Linked DNA regions of Kluyveromyces lactis. The protein of the gene in region 4 purifies or fractionates together with the protein of the main gene of each other region. This does not show direct contact. Links are inferred from orthologs where the notes say so. Each region holds a gene or a part of one and is shown on either strand. Other genes may lie near its edges.

Evidence for each region. The genes of interacting proteins can lie anywhere in the genome.
Region 1: the proteins of RPB7 (region 4) and SET2 purify together in Saccharomyces cerevisiae (affinity purification with mass spectrometry; 3 studies listed by BioGRID, with this or other methods). This does not show direct contact. The link is inferred for Kluyveromyces lactis from reciprocal best matches to the Saccharomyces cerevisiae genes RPB7 and SET2.
Region 2: the proteins of RPB7 (region 4) and SPT4 purify together in Saccharomyces cerevisiae (affinity purification with mass spectrometry; 4 studies listed by BioGRID, with this or other methods). This does not show direct contact. The link is inferred for Kluyveromyces lactis from reciprocal best matches to the Saccharomyces cerevisiae genes RPB7 and SPT4.
Region 3: the proteins of RPB7 (region 4) and RTR1 purify together in Saccharomyces cerevisiae (affinity purification with mass spectrometry; 5 studies listed by BioGRID, with this or other methods). This does not show direct contact. The link is inferred for Kluyveromyces lactis from reciprocal best matches to the Saccharomyces cerevisiae genes RPB7 and RTR1.

Annotation. Positions count from the first base shown.
Region 1 is NC_006037.1:594,837-599,334, reverse strand, and holds SET2 (histone methyltransferase SET2), read left to right. Parts: upstream 1-1,216; coding exon 1,217-3,325; downstream 3,326-4,498. Other genes in the region: LST4 (Lst4p), read left to right, coding at 1-774; ASG7 (Asg7p), read left to right, coding at 3,771-4,463. UniProt on the Saccharomyces cerevisiae protein: Histone methyltransferase that trimethylates histone H3 'Lys-36' forming H3K36me3. Involved in transcription elongation as well as in transcription repression.
Region 2 is NC_006038.1:705,348-708,037, reverse strand, and holds SPT4 (transcription elongation factor SPT4), read right to left. Parts: upstream 1,483-2,690; coding exon 1,174-1,482; downstream 1-1,173. Other genes in the region: membrane insertase COX18, read right to left, coding at 1-726; glutathione-disulfide reductase GRX8, read left to right, coding at 2,042-2,377; VHT1 (Vht1p), read right to left, coding at 2,460-2,690.
Region 3 is NC_006042.1:1,172,768-1,175,872, forward strand, and holds RTR1 (RNA polymerase II subunit B1 CTD phosphatase RTR1), read left to right. Parts: upstream 1-1,296; coding exon 1,297-1,932; downstream 1,933-3,105. Other genes in the region: EMP65 (Emp65p), read right to left, coding at 1-1,039; RRG1 (Rrg1p), read right to left, coding at 2,045-3,105. UniProt on the Saccharomyces cerevisiae protein: RNA polymerase II subunit B1 C-terminal domain (CTD) phosphatase that dephosphorylates 'Ser-5' of the CTD and regulates RNA polymerase II during the transition from 'Ser-5' to 'Ser-2' phosphorylation.
Region 4 is NC_006039.1:592,842-598,887, reverse strand, and holds RPB7 (DNA-directed RNA polymerase II subunit RPB7), read left to right. Parts: upstream 1-3,192; coding exon 3,193-3,708; downstream 3,709-6,046. Other genes in the region: KLLA0_C06864g (rhodanese-like domain-containing protein), read left to right, coding at 54-476; rRNA-processing protein RRP36, read right to left, coding at 861-1,859; MRPL44 (mitochondrial 54S ribosomal protein mL53), read right to left, coding at 2,208-2,446, 2,579-2,636; DIT1 (Dit1p), read right to left, coding at 4,306-5,895. UniProt on the Saccharomyces cerevisiae protein: DNA-dependent RNA polymerase catalyzes the transcription of DNA into RNA using the four ribonucleoside triphosphates as substrates. Component of RNA polymerase II which synthesizes mRNA precursors and many functional non-coding RNAs.

The DNA.
Region 1 (4,498 bases), on a different chromosome or scaffold from region 4:
AACGGTTCACAACGTGTAACACCTCAGCCATCACCTACCATTGCAGAATATGAAGAATACCCATGGTTTTCCCCGTCACCAATTGCAAGGGATCAGCCAAGACCAGAGAAAAGAATACCCACACCAATATCTTCTTACACCACAGAAAAGGAAAGAAGAACGCATTTACAGTCTGAAATATACGACGTTGACATGAAACGAACCGTGAATCGACTCATCGACGAGGACTCTTTAAACGACGCATTCGCAGATCTAGTAATAGATCCACCAAGCTATGACACAACGGTCTCGAACGAAAAGCATGGCGAAATTGTAGAAGTTAATATGGCTTCTCCCAGAAAACAGCGCAATAATCAAAATCAAGAACTATTACGAAGGTTCACGTCCTACACTCCACACTACAACCAATGGTTCCAACTACAAGCGTGCCAGATCACCACAGAATCCGAAAACAAGGTGATCCATTCGATGAAGAGAGATTTAACGTACGCAGATCAAGATCCATGCAAAAAAGATAAATCCACATCAACGTTACTCATCTCGCTCAGATCAAGAGAGATCAAACAAGTCACTATCGTGAGAGACACAAATAACAGATTCATACAGAGAACAAAGAAGATATTGCAAAATGGGAAAGTGGGTCCCGTCTCGAGGGCAATGCTCTCAGGCATAGAAACGACAGACCAGCATTTAAAGAAACTCATGGAATGCAATAACGACAACGAGGCATTAGTTTCCCTCTTCAACGATATAGTAACGTGTGCCTCAACATAGGTTTAGAGAGTTTGGATCACGTGTCACGTCACTATATACGTTGTGATGAAAATCAAGCTTTCAAGGCTACCCAAAATTTTTGAGAAAGCTAATGGTTCGGGTCTCTGATGCCCTATAAAGCTTTATTCAGTTGGAAAATGTTGATTAATCACTAGGTTTATATGTATTAGATTGCTGTTTTTGGTTGTCAGATCTTTTGAGAATTGTTCAGTCGGGGGACTTAGGCTTTAGGCAGGGATAAAATCTACAGTGCTGTTTTGTTGTAGCATAGTATATAGAATTGGAAAAAAAAATTAAAGCATACTTGGGGAAGACAAGGAACGAAAGATAGAGAATAGAACATTGGTGTGATTATTTGATCTAATATAACATCTTCAGAAGGGCTATCACTCATATTAAGTTCTGTGTGATTATCAATTGTATTTTTTTGTTTGTTAATATTATGACGGAAAGCGGTAATGGAATTGTTAATACGAGGCAACCGAAGTTGTTTCTCGATGTTCCGGATATGACTTCTGAAGCAAAGAAAACGTACGCTGAGCTGGATGTATGTACGTATACGCCTAAAAACTTGGGTGATTCTAAGCATGAGTTTATGGAATGTGACTGTTTTGAGGAATTTCGGGACGGTTTAAACCATGCGTGCGGTGAGGATTCTGATTGTATAAATAGAGCCACTTTAATTGAGTGTGTGAACGGTCTTTGCAAACACTCGTGCGGTACTGACTGTCAGAACCAAAGATTCCAGAAGAAAGCGTATGCAGATATATCTGTTTTCAAGACGGAGCGGAAAGGTTTCGGCGTCCGTGCCAATTCTGATATTGAACCACACAACTTTATTTATGAATATATTGGAGAAGTAATACAGGAGGAAGAGTTTCGTAACCGGATGGTGAAATATGACCAAATGGGATTTAAGCACTTCTACTTTATGATGTTGCAGACCGGACAGTTCATTGATGCTACGCTAAAGGGGTGTATTGCCAGATTCTGCAACCATTCTTGTAATCCTAATGCATACGTTAATAAATGGGTAGTTAACGGGAAATTAAAGATGGGTATTTTTGCCAACAGACACATCAGCAAGGGAGAAGAAGTGACGTTTGATTACAACGTTGATAGGTACGGTGCCAATGCACAGCCATGTTACTGCGAGGAACCAAACTGTATTGGATTCCTTGGTGGTAAGACTCAAACTGACGCGGCATCGCTATTGCCTCAAAGTTTTGCAGATGCCTTAGGTATAAGGCCGTCCATGGAGAAAAAATGGATCAATATGATGAAGGCCAAGGGTGAGAAAATAGCTAAAAGTGACACCACAACGGTTAACGTCGACTTCGTTAATTCTTTATCACTAGAACCCTGTACGAAGACTGAAGATGTTAATCGTGTGATGAGTGTATTATTACAGATAGATGACGCCTTCATTGCAGAAAAGCTACTTGAAAGGATCACTTTGACTGAAGATGAAGCAATGCATTATCAGTTCATCAAATTGCATGGTTACTTGATCTTTAGTAGACTTATCACAATGTTTGAAGATAAGCCAGACATTATATGGAAGATTTTAAACTTCTTGTTAGTTTTACCCAAGACAACTAAAAATGGTATAATTCATTCTGGAATTGATAAGAAGGTCGAACAATTAAAGAATACTCCTAAATTTGAAGTGATATGTGAAGATCTATTAGAGAAATGGTCCAAATATGAAACTTACACCAGAATCTCCAAGAAAGATATTTCAGAAAATAGCAAAGTTATAGATTTACGGCGGATACGTTTACCTATCGGTTGGGAAATCATTCATGAGAATGGCAGACCAGTGTATTATAATGCTCAAAGGCAGATCAAACAAGCCAATCCTCCAACTGATTCTGCTTATAGATCGAACTCAAGCCATAACCTTTCTGGAGTTTCTGATCCTAAATCGAGATCAGCAACACCTTCTTCAAATACCAGTCGGTATAGTGGGTCTGTTAAGTACATACCCACGCCTACTTATGGCCAGATGCAGCAGAAAAGAACGCTATCTCCAGAAGAATACGAGAAAAGGAAAAAATCGAGAATCGAGTGGGAACAAAAGGAGTTAGAACTAAGGAAATTAATGGAGCAAGAGACTTTAAAAGCAAAATTGGATCAAGAAACCCAAAAGAAGAGCGAATTGGAGAGAATCATCGAGGAGGCCAATAAACAGAAAGAACTTGAAAGGCTTCAGAAATTGAAACAGCAACAAGAGGATGAAGAAAGGAAAAAAGTAAAGAAACAAGCTAGTCATGTCAATGCTATCGAAAATAAATGGGTCAAGTTCTTCGCTCAACATGTTCCAAACTTAATTAAAAATTACCAAAAGGACGTGGGCAAAGATGTTCTCAAGGAATCTGCTAGAAACATTGTCAAGTCTCTTGCCCAAAAGGAATTGAAGAAAGACAGTTCTAGATCACCACCTGAAGAACTCTCTAAAGAGAAAAGAGCTAAAGTTAAAACGTTTTCGATGCAGTATATGGATCGATTGGTTGCCAAGATGAAAGAAAAGAAAGAGAAGAAACGTTGATATCAAGTAACATTGCAAACACTTTTGTATCAATTCCATGTCATACGTTACATGATAGAAACTTTCAAAGGCCAAGAAGTCAGAAGAAAGGGGGGCAGTCCTCTCATAGCACAGGCTACCGTACCCCTTATGCGCATGTATATAGTTTGATTCGTCCCTGAAAGCGCCGTATGTTATCGAGTTTCTTGTCTTTGTAATTTCCATAATAGGAAGATTCTTTGACAATTATCAACTTGACACATGAAGGTTTAAAGAAAAAACATGGACGTCGAAAGAGAGTTATTTTACAACGCGCTGGAAACCCAAGTATATAAGCTGCCGGTAAGCCAATGTAATCTTGAGATGATTTCGTTAAGATATCACTATTTAAATGCATATCTAAACGTCTCTCTGCCGTGTTAAATTTAAATTTAGGCAGTAATAAAATTCATACTATTCGGACAATATGAGTACTTTTGGTTCGACTTTTTATGATTCTGTAGCAAAGAACTACATATGTGAATGTGGAAGTTGCAAGATAGGAAAAAATGTAGAATTTTACATGGTTCGTTTCTTCATCATGGGTTTTGTTTTACCCGTGCTATGGATCCTTAACTTAATGTTGTACCTTTATGCCAACTGGATAATCGACCACAATGTTAGGGTCCCGGAACTTGACTCTGAAACCTTATATACCGAATATGAATGCCAACAATGGAAACAGCGCAGTGTCACATCACTAAACAAAAGTATTACCAAGGACTTCTACGCTATTAACAACCCATTGACATTTTCCATGCTTACTTTAAAACTACCAGATCCCGTACCATTGACTACGTATCAACATCTCTCTTTGCCTGATCCAACGAAGGGCAGTGATGAAAAAAACCAGTTTTCGGAAAGCGCTACTACCCTGGACGAGGGTGCAACAGACTCCTCATCATTTGAGACGGAAGACGGTGGTACCAAATCCATAGTGACAGCTCAGTGTCTAAAAGAAATCGCTTCTGAACTAATGAAAAATCATGACGTTAATGCAAGAACTATCAGGAACTGGTTTCTGCGTAGCTTATGTGCAATGACAGGGTACACAATATCCATTATAATGATAGTAGTTATCGTTAAGACTAACAGCCAACCGGCATCGTACCGAGAATGAACATATGCATTACTCGTCCGCATTATACAAAAGAA
Region 2 (2,690 bases), on a different chromosome or scaffold from region 4:
TGCAGTTGCTTGCATCGTCTTACCGTTATACTCAACATTGATCATCGAAACGGTTCCTAAAATGATGGGTATTAGCATTGGTGCTGCGTCCAAGGGCAAACTTAGGTCTAAAGAACCTATATGAGTTAACCAACTTGTCTCTGAAAGATCTTGTAATACATGTGCGTGAGGCATATTTGTGTCCACTAACCTACTATCAGTAAGCTTCCTAAGCCCCATTGACATAGTCACCCATAGAGGGACTTGAACTAACGGTAGAACACTATTCTTCCACATCTGTACGTTGTATTTTTTGAATAAAACTTTTTGTCTCTTACGCATTTCTTTCAACGATAACATCGTTATTTGATCTGGCGTTAACTGCCTTTTTCCTCTTTGAAGCGCTCCGACCGTTTCCTCTTTAGTTTGTATTGCACTACCAGAACTTGTCAATTCTTCGTCATTAGCCTTCGCAGTCATCGAAGCCAATCTTAGCTTCACCACAGGGGGAACACTTTGCACAACTTTCCGAAGCTCTTGCTGCTTCACTATACGTTTCCTTTGCCATATACTTAGTGGTAAAGTGAACACCGTTCTCAATGCAAAAGTGGCAGTTGGTATGAGTACTAACCATGGTACTCCAGAGGCATCGTGTAACTGTACAAAACTATCAGCAATAGCTTGCAATGATCCAAATTGTCTCGAACCCTTCGCAAAATGTACGGCAGGTAATCTTCGAAGTAACATAGTTGATGTAAAACCCCCAAGATACCGATCCAATCTCAATCTGGACTCTTTACTTCACCTTTCAAGGCGAGCAAAGATGTACTGCATTTGATAGAAAATTGTAGTTTAATGGATGATCTTTGAAATGACAAAAAATGTTGAAATGATCAAAAATCATAGTGGACATGGGGTACAACCACCAATTTTACGCCAGATCCTTTAGATATTCGGTAACATAGATATAGATAGATTGATACAGCGATTGCGCTTTTCAATTCAACTTTTTTTTTGGTTTAATAGATATAGTACAGAACATTTGATATATTTCGAAGGATAAATATACATGTAATAAGGGAGCCACCTTATAGGATGCAAGAGGAAATTAATAAATGGGGGCACCAAAACGGCCCCATGACGATTTCAACATAAAAAAACTAAAACAGACAAGTGCTTAACAAGTGCTTAAAATTAATCAACTTGACTTCCATCTCTCGGTTTATAGTGAGGCAAAAGTTCCGTTACCTCTATTGGTAAACGACCATCAATTTTGACAGCGTACATTCCTGGAATATAACTGTCAATACTCATCCATCTCGCTACCCACGACCTGCTAGGTTTACACATACCAACCAAACCTTCAAAAGATGGGGAAGTACATTCAACAGCCGAAACACCTGCCTCTTCAAAGATCGATTGACAGTTCGGGCACCCATTCCTATTGAATTCAGCAGTCGATTGCACCAGTCCACATAACATACAAGCTCTGTCCGTTGACATTTCCCCACTCTTTTCGATGATATGTTCTTATATATATTGAGGCTTTGATTCCAGCTCTAATCACAACGTATGAACTGGTTCTTACCCATAAAAGATCGCATTAACTTACCTAATGTGAGTATGTAGCTTGATGCTTACAGCTTTTTCAAATTGGAAAACTGAGAATCGATGCTCGTTGATAAAGATCATAATCAGGGTAACAACAAATCTGTATAATACCCCAAACAGAGTAAAATGCCACATACAGGGAACGAAACTACATCATGTTATACCCTTTACTAGATGCAACTGTTCGCACGCGTTAGAGACATACTACCGTATTTCAATTCTTAGTGGCATCAACGGTGTCTTTTCTGTGGGAATGGCGGAGTTTCAGCACGGAAAAACTGTGGATGGTCTTAATGAATATTTAAAGGTCAGATTTTCAAAAGAAACTTGAAGATTTCAACCTTTCTGTTATATAAGATGAGGGTCATCCCCCAAATGTGAACAGAATGTAGCTTATTCTCGGTAAAGTAATTCTCATATCATCAGGAAAGAACTAGTCAATTTACAGAGGATGTCTAAGTATATTGCTATCGCCCGTGAAGTAGTTTCTTCTCACAAGTTTGTTCAATTGAGTGCGGGATGGTGTCCTGATTGTGTATATTCCAATTCCATATGGAAGAAATTCGGCGTTACGGACAAGATCTTCAATTATGATATTGCTGAAGTGACTAACAGTAGATCCGAATGGAATGAAATCAGAGATGCATTTCAAAAGGCCACTGGCTCAAGAAACTTGCCAACTTTGTACGTTGATGGTAAGGTTTGGGGTACTGAATCAGAGTTAGCGAGATTTGAAAGGAATGGTACTTTGAAAGAAGAGTTACAGAAGATCGGACTGGTAGATTAGAATATTAGAAGAGAATAATATCTATTATTATATACGAGGGAGAGGAATGAAGTATGTGGTTACTAGTGCTCTTCCGTTTAGATTAGTTATATACACGTTCAGGTTCATTAGTTTCGCTCTTTAAATAATAGTACTCTCCCTCTTTAACTAATTCAGATTCAACGAAACTAGGTATTGGTTCACTCATCTTGGAGTTGTACAAGATGATACCGTTGTCCAATGCATGTCTACGTTCTTGTCTCTTGTAGAAGTACAACACGACGAATGTCCATAGACCATAAATAGCACCGAAGACAAGTGAGACTGTATAACC
Region 3 (3,105 bases), on a different chromosome or scaffold from region 4:
TATGCGCTCTGATTCTGTTGAATTTGATAATATATGCGTGCTTGATCCAATCCACTATCAATTCACTTCCAATTACTGTGACAATCGGCCCTATAAATATACCAACTATCAAGGACTGTGTAGAATGAACATTCCATGAGTGTGGTAAAACATCGCGCAAGCTCTTTCTTGCTACGATAAAGTTTCTCACTGCAATGACCGTTAGAAATACGATCAACTGGAATCTTTCCACGACGTCAGCCATAGTCAATTGGAACAATCCTTCTTTATCAATTCTCTTGAAAACTGCAGATTTTAACTCTGAAAACTGCATTGACAACAGTAGCGTCCATAAGGAGTTAGAATACGAGTTTACCGCAACGTTCATGGCAAGAATCTGGTAGATGTATATCAACGCGTGGAAACTTAAACATAAACAACATGCAATATATAGCATTACCATCTCTGTCTTATGTTTGGCACTCTTCTTGAGCATGATAATTGAATATAGATCAAGGCCAACACTTGATAAGAGCTTTTCTGTCATCTCAAGAACCTGAAATATCATGTATAGTTTAATAGCATTTTGGCCCTTAATTTTATGATATATTCTTGAGGTGTCAAGGACATTCAATATCGAACAGGGTCCAAGAATCATCGCAGTAGTAAGAAGCTCTTGTCGTATTCTTTTAGGACCATCTCGTTTCACCACTAATACATGGAATACCCTAAGTGGTATAATGGTAAAGTAATACAAGAAGCAGTTCAAACAAGTCAATATCGCAAAGACAAAGAATTGCTCGACTTGGAATGGTACCCTCAGTATGTTCGCAATCTGCTCCAGATCATATTCAACAGACTTCTCACTCTGATCACATGGTTCCTCTTCGAATACCTTGGCTGTTTGGGGAAGAATCTCCTGGTATATAAAGTTCTTTATCGATGATGACACCGTATTCACGTCTTGTTCAACCGATACCCTTCTCCCAGCACCAGAACTGCTTTCCTTAGACCTCGCCTTTCGCCTTTTGAGGTGGGCTTCAGAATCCTGTGAACTCATTTGTTGAGGCACAACTGACCGGTTAGTGCTAAGGACCTTACTTCGTCATGGATATTTCTTTCTTCTGTTGTTGTTGTCTGCTCGAATTCGATCTACATTGAATTAAAATAAAGTCCTTGCTTAAATCACATCGAAGGGTTGATAGTGCCAAAGTAAAGAAGGTAAACTTAAGAAAAGCACATGAATAAGGGACCTCATACAGCTGCTTGACCAACTACGACCGTGAAATAATTTACCAAAATAATTAGACTATAGCAATGGCTACCATTGAAGAAATCAAAGAGGTTGTATTAAAACCCTATACAAACCATCGACAATTGACCATAAGGGAAGTGGAAACTATAAGTATCAATTTAATAGACTTATTGATTACAAAAGACGTGAAAGATGCAAGGACGATGAAATACATTTCAAGGTTCCTTACCAAACAGGATTATGCGGATCTAGTCCAAGAAAGGAACTTGGTGAAGCGTTGTGGATATCCACTCTGTAGCAAAAGCCAGGCGAGAGTACGTGATCCCTTCGCAGATGTACAGATGACCAATTTCTTAAGACAAAATAACCCATATGCATACCTTACAGAATACTGTACTAAGGCTCATTTTAGATGTTCACAGTTTTACCAGTTTCAGCTCTCAGACGAGGCTTTGTTTGCTAGGGTCGGTGTACATCTTGACGATTATGAGCCACCTAGTGAGATACAATTGCTCGAAGAAGTACTAGCTAGAGAGTCTGATGTTAAGCAGATGATTCGTGGTATGACTGATTTGAAACTCGCGGACGATGATAGTAGAGAGGAAATGGAAAGGGATATCAGTGACATGTTAGCTGATATTAAGATCGTAGAGATCAACGAGCCAAATATCATTGGAGATTTAGGACGAGATAGATGAAATGACAGAATGATGACAAGTACAAACATATTTGAGGTAGAGCATTTTGACTCTATAACTCAAAATATATGGACAATCCTGCATTATATAGTCATACATAAAATAGTTTTATTTACGATTTAACTTTCACTAATTGATCTGGTCTAAGGAACCTCCATTTAACAAGCAAAGCACCTAAATTTTTCTCTTCGGTAAATGGGTTTGTCGTTGGTAACTCTGCTTTCAAGCCCAAGAATCGTTCAAGCCTTTTTTTATAAAGTCTTTGGTTCAGTTGTTTATAATATTCATATTGTTTTCCGTCAATTAAGTGATCTCTACTTTCGGTGAATTTACGCTGTGTATTAGCATTTATCCGGTTGAGAATGTCCATATCTTCGAGGATTGGTTTTATCCAGTCGATGAACACTGCAGGGATGTCATTGGACTTACCACTCTTTATCTGTGTCACGACGTCATTGAATTTTCGTGAACATGGTTGTTTGTGAATCAATGTATATTCCCATTGTGCTTCTTGAAATGCATAGAAAAGTTTGGATTCACACTCCCTAAATCTATCGAGATTATCTTGAGCTCTAAGCCGTGCCTTAATTATGATTCCTGTCAATTTCTTAGACTGGCGTGCCTTCCTATTGAATGGAGATCGTATGAACCAAATTCGGGATTGGCCAGCGTTGGTGTAGTTAATAGAAACTTTAGGGGGGCCCTTGGCAATGCGGTACTCAATCCTGTACAAAATTTTACAGTATCTCTCGTGGATTGCAAGAGGTCTGAGTAGCTCGTCGATATGTTTACGAGGTATCGTTTTAGTCGGACCATATATTTTATAATATCTAAGAAGGTAGCGGTATAAATCACCATCACCAGGAATAGGTGCTAATCGCTTCTTTTTTTCCCTTCGACTCTCATCCCCCATATTTTCAGTTACCACCACACCAGAAATTGGTTTGTTCGCTTGCTGCAACGGTTCTGGAGCAGGCTCGATCTGCTCTGTGTATTTGTTCTTTAGAGCAACTAGCTTGATTATATCATCGCCGACAATATACTTATTCAGATGAGAGAGATCCTCCAATAATCCACGTACGTACCAGCCAGCTTTATGATTTCTGTTACGTCGTACTGCTTGTCTCAATGTGTTCCAAAGCTCAATCTGGAGATTATCAGTGGGTACGTTGG
Region 4 (6,046 bases):
TTTGGTGTCTTAAAAGGAGTTCAGAAGTAAGTCAAAGTTTGTGATTATTTACCATGTTAAGAAGTGCTTTCAAGGGATCGTTTCCTGCTAAAGTCGGTGGTTTCAGAACGTTTTCTACTGTACCAGCCAAGATCTATCAATTTGAAGACATTCAAAAATTAGTTGCCAAGCCTGATCCGCACAAGGTTCTAGTCGATGTGAGAGAACCTAGTGAAGTGAAAGAATTTGCATTACCTACAGCTATCAATTTACCTCTAAAGACTGCACCAGGTGCGTTGAGTTTGGACAATGAGGAATTTCAGAAGGTTTTCCATATCCCAAAGCCTTCTGCGGATAAGGAGTTGATTTTCTTTTGCGCTGCCGGGATTAGAGCTCAAGCAGCTGAAGAACTAGCTAGATCTTATGGTTATGAGAAGACTGGAGTATGGCCTGGTTCGATCAATGAATGGCTGCAGAGGACCCAACCAAAGAAATGATTTGTAATGTCTTGTTCATTTTATTTTTTTTTGTTGTATCCATAATGAGAGTGATATGATTTGTTTGCATCTTCTTCCAAAAAATAACTGGATAAAGAGTAGGCTTTCATTTTCCCGAGTGATCCAGTTACTTTACTTAGCTGATGTGGTATAAATTTATTTGAAATCACGACTGTTCTGTCCCTTTCAGACTCGATTGTCAAATCTATGGTCCTAGATTTGGGTTCTATCTAAATTATTCCCGTTAAATCAACTATATAGAGTGGCCTAAATTTGAAAACCTGACATCTATACTTTATGTACACATAATGAAACATCCGTTTCAATAAAGGCAATATCTCTTTGAAATTAATGAGTAGAATGCAATTGATCCGATCGCATACTTTACCTCTTATGAAATTCGAATTGCTTAAATTCTTTACCTAATCTCTTCTTTCTCTTTCTATCCATTACCTTTTCTCTTTGTTTACCCTTCATGTGCTCGAACTTCCACTTTTGTATTACCTTCCGCTTCTCTGAATCCTTCAAATGGTATTTATTCTTGTTATTCTTGTTGATTTCTGCTTCATAATCCTTTACAATCTTTTGTTCCATTTCCATGACTTGCACCGTTTCTAATCTTGATTTCATCCTTCTCACCTGCTGCTCCATTTCACTCTTCTCTCTGTCGCTGATTTTACTTAGGAATTTTCTATCATGGAGCATGCTATCCAATTCGTTGATCTCTTTTTCTCTGTACTCATCCAAGAACTTGTATCGTTGACGGATTTTTGCCAAGTCTTCTGACTTTCCCATGGCTTTATCAAACCTGACATCTTGATAGATGGATTTACTCTTATTATCTTCTAACCCAGGAATCTTTCTCATGGAGCGCACTTTCTTCTTTGACGATGATTCGGTTGGTGCGTGCTTTCTTTTACCTTTCTTCTTTTTACCATTCTGATTAGCCTCATCGTTTGATTCTTCATCGAAAAAGCCGCCATCACTATCAGAATCACTTTCTTCTCCGAAAGATTCTTCTGCAAACATTTTGATAGACTGTGACTTTTGTTGTGCTTCTTCTTCCTGTAATCCGCTCTGACGTCTCTGTCCATCATCAAGTTTCCTTTGTTTCTCAGTCAACTCTCTTGATTTTGGCTTATTCAAATGTTTCTTCTCACCATTCGCTTTGCTTTTGCTTTTTCTGCTGGTTTGTTCCTCATTGTCCATCATTTCATCAGCTTTCTTCAAAGATCCAAATGAGAGTGTCTTTAGCTCATCTTCGCTTTGTGAACCTTCTGCATCACTTGTATCGTTTATTCTTATGATTGATGCTATGTCATCTTCCTCATCTTCGTTTCCTGAATGAAGATCTGGCTTGATATTCTTGAAGTAAAATGACATTTGTATATTACTGGTAGTTTTTGTGGCCGTGGCTGCTTACAGGTTAGTTATCAGTCGCTTCTACATAGAAGTTCTTCTTGATTTTAAGTTTAGCTCATCGCTTCTGCATTGGCACCGTATAAAATTTTCAATATCTGGAAGAAACTTGAAATTCCTATTCAGGCGATGTAAATGAATAATGGACAGGAAGGGAGCTTCAAATAATAAGGTCTGTGATCATACCAACAGCGTTGACTCAATTTAATCCACTGAAGCATTGTAGTGTTTTATATCTTATACTACATTAAATTTCTTTTACTTATTGTTATATATACATGAATTTTGTGATGGGTATCTCGTCACAAGAAATCATTGAGATTCAATACTTTCCTTTAGGGCCAATTTTCTTGAATGACGATCAAAGTAGTTCCCTAGTTCCATGAAGTTCATACTGCTTGGATCAGCTTCCAATTCAGTTTTATCTTTGAAAGTAACTTTCACTGTAGGTTTCTTATTAGAGCCAGAAACCAAAACTTCGTTTTGCAATTGTAATCCACTTGTTCTTTGTGAAGGAGGAATAGCACTTAAGAACAACCTAGCTGTCTTGGCTGTAGATGAAGATAAATGAGACGATTGATGTTTTAATAGTAAAACAACCGTAAATCATATTATGTTAGTAATGGTGTTCGGTAGTTTTAAATGATGTCCAACTAATGATTTCTCTTTCTTTGAAGACATACCTTCCTTTCCTAATGGATTGAATTTCACAACTGCCTTAGTAAAATATTTCGTGATCATGTTGCTCTATAGTTCTCTTGACAACAGCTGACAAACTCCCAAGTATTACTCTGATGAGACGTCCTCATCCAAAAACATACTTCACAGCTGTATTCATCTCTAGCTTTTTGCCTAAAACTGTTTAAATGGTAATAGCGATCTCATCAGAGGCTATACTATTACCCGGATAGTTTTTGAATGTTTTTGGGCGATGTTTGACGAAATGAAAAATATTGAAAGAAACATCCAATTGCAAAATGAACAACTTCAATATTTGCAAATGAAGCAAGACTGCTTTTAGCACAATCGGTTTTTAGGATCCTTGGATTGTTATTTAAGGTCGATATAAGGTACTCGCCTTTAATTGTTTGCAGGTTGAACTAAGTGCGGGTTGTTTTTCATTCGTTTATTCAATTGTAACAGCCGTTGATACGGTGAATCTATTGGCAAGCTTTTTAAAAAGGAACTATTCATATTCGAATTGGACTTTCAGTTTGATTGTAACTATACTTTAACTTGATCTTATTGCCTGAAGGACCAGTATCTTTTTTATAGAAGCGAAATAAACTACAGAGCCATGTTTTTCTTCAAAGATTTGTCGTTGAATATAACGCTTCATCCATCATTCTTTGGACCTCAGATGAAGAGATATTTGATGACAAAGCTACTACAAGAGGTGGAAGGAACATGTACCGGTAAATTCGGATATATCCTATGTGTTTTAGACTGTGAAAATATCGAGATTGAACGTGGACGGATTTTGCCTACGGACGGGTCAGCAGAGTTTACTGTTAAATATAGAGCTGTGGTATGGAAACCTTTCAAGGGAGAAGTTCTTGATGGTATCGTATCTAGTTGTACAAACTTAGGTTTTGAAGTGGAAGTTGGACCTTTGTCTGTCTTCGTTTCCCCTTTTTTGATGCCAGAAGATTTGACTTTCAACAGTGGTTCCAATCCTCCATCATATCAATCATCAGAACAAATTATTACTAAAGGATCTAGAGTAAGATTAAAAATCGTCGGTGCAAGATCGGAAGTCAACTCTATTTACGCCATTGGCAGTATCAAGGAAGATTATTTGGGGGTGATATGATATTTCTTTCCTAGAACCTTTCACATTTTTCACCTAATCGCAACTATGACTATATATAGCTTTGGACATAAATTTCCAAATTCCGGTCATCATTGTTATCTGCTTCATTTGTGAGCATTTTGTATAATATAAAAGAACAAACTAATTTAACAAGCAGCATGGTCAATGTACTTTCTTTTTCTCAGCAATTAATAATAGCGTCACATTAATTTTTTGATTGTACCAAGCACAAACTGTTACAAAAATATCTGTTAAAAGCATATACATTGTTGAGAACTTTCACATGAATCAATTGACATATGACGATTTGTGTCAATGATTCTATCTTAAAGATATCACAAATAAAATAAAATAAAATAAAAATAATAACAAGAATCCCTCGTTGAATTGCATTTGATTCAAAGGCGCTATCTCAAAATTAAGAAAACACAATCCGATGGTTAGCTTCACCGATTCTTCAGTGGGTTTTTGGGACGAAAGAGTTTAGGATAGAATTATGAGTAAAAATTGAAAAGTTGGTTAATTCATGGTATCATTAGTTGTTGTGTGGAGCTCTTGCAGGCTGGAAAAAAAAATAAAAAGAAATTGAGGAGTCATTTAATTGATCTTATTAATCTTACGAACCCTTCTGAGCAAATAATGGCCACCAACTCCAGTTTCCACATCTGTTTTTACCCATGTTCCTTCATAATTACCGTTTTCAATTGCATCCATCACAGTTTTGGTTTTAGTCAAATAGAAGCGCTCATTTTCTTCAATTTTGACAACACAATTGTGCCATGGTGTAGGAATATGCAACAAATCTTCGAAAGTTGGTTCCTCTTCGTTGTCTAAAGACCTAATTGTTTTACATTGTAAAGGTGAAATGATTTTAATTCCGAATTTTGGTCCGCTATTGGTATGTGCGTGAATCGATAATCTCATATGATGAGGAAAAACTAATTCTACTAAGTTCGAATAAGCGTCGTTTCGTTTGATCATTTCAAAGGCAACTTTAGCAACGACCTTTTTGAAGCCTTTCCTCGATATGCCTTGAAAAAATGGTAATAGACATAAGTCTTCAGTCATAAACTTCGAAAATCCTCGAAACAAATGCAATCTTGGATGATCTGGAATGTTTAATTGTTTCTTCAATCTCCCGTTTTCAGTGTCACATCCCTTCATCAATATCTTTCTTGATAACTCAGAGTCAGGACAGATCTTAGTGCCAGTGTAATGTGGTAGTTCAATTTCCTCAACCCATCTGGGATCAAATGATTCACTACTCTCACCTTCAAAGAAAAGATCTTTCAAACCAGCAAATCCTATAGCGTCAGTACCTGGTTCTGCTAATGATCTATAAAGACCATGCAAATGAGCTGTATATGAATCGACCACATCATCATCTACGCCAATGCAATCACTGAAGACGTGCCCATCGCTAACAATCCATAATTTCATCCCAGGAGGATAGAATTTAGAAATTTCCTTGGTTGCATTGATGAGATTCACAAAGGCTAACTCTTCTCCTTTATCTGGGACGTCACCATGGACCTTTTTCAAATTTGAGGATTTACAAGGGAACGCTGGCAAAATACATTCGATTCTTTTATGTCTGGATGTGAAATAGCAAACTCTTTCCTTAAAATATTGTCTACCATTCATTGTAATCCATTCATCGCCCTGAATTGTATTCTTCAAATTTCTTTCGAAGTACTGGGTGAAAAGCTCTGCATAGTCGACCTCAGATTGCACGCTAGGTTCAGAGCTATATCCAACATGAATTTTGCATAGAATGTGATAAATGAACCAGGTATTAAACGAGTTCTCATTTTCAACAGTGGTAATTACACCCCTGATTTGATTCTCATCACCAATCTGATATTCAGATACCTTAATTGCAACGTTATGGAATGGGGTCATTCTGTGGGATTCTTCTGCAGTTATCTCGACTTCCGTCACACCATGCTCATTGATTTTTCCGGTCTTTTGCTTCAAAATATTGCTCAATTCCTCCCAGTTTTCGGTAAATTGGCAATTCTGTTTGTCCTGGATGCAATATAGTTCATATGAATACAAGTTTCTTGTATACAAACATAGGAATTTGGAATATGTGGACATATCATTCTCAGTTTGGCCATGGGAGATGTCCACATCAAAATATGGGTGATGAGCCTCTTTTATGATCGGTAACGTATCATTCGTCATTTTTTGAATTATTGTCAATGCACTTAATAAACGATATTCAGCTCAATTATCAGCGGATTCTGTGGCTTGCTTATTAGCCTTTGTTGTTGCTTGAAGTCCGAATTTAACAGAACCGGTGCCGGAAAGGAAATATTACGGGATATAGTTATGT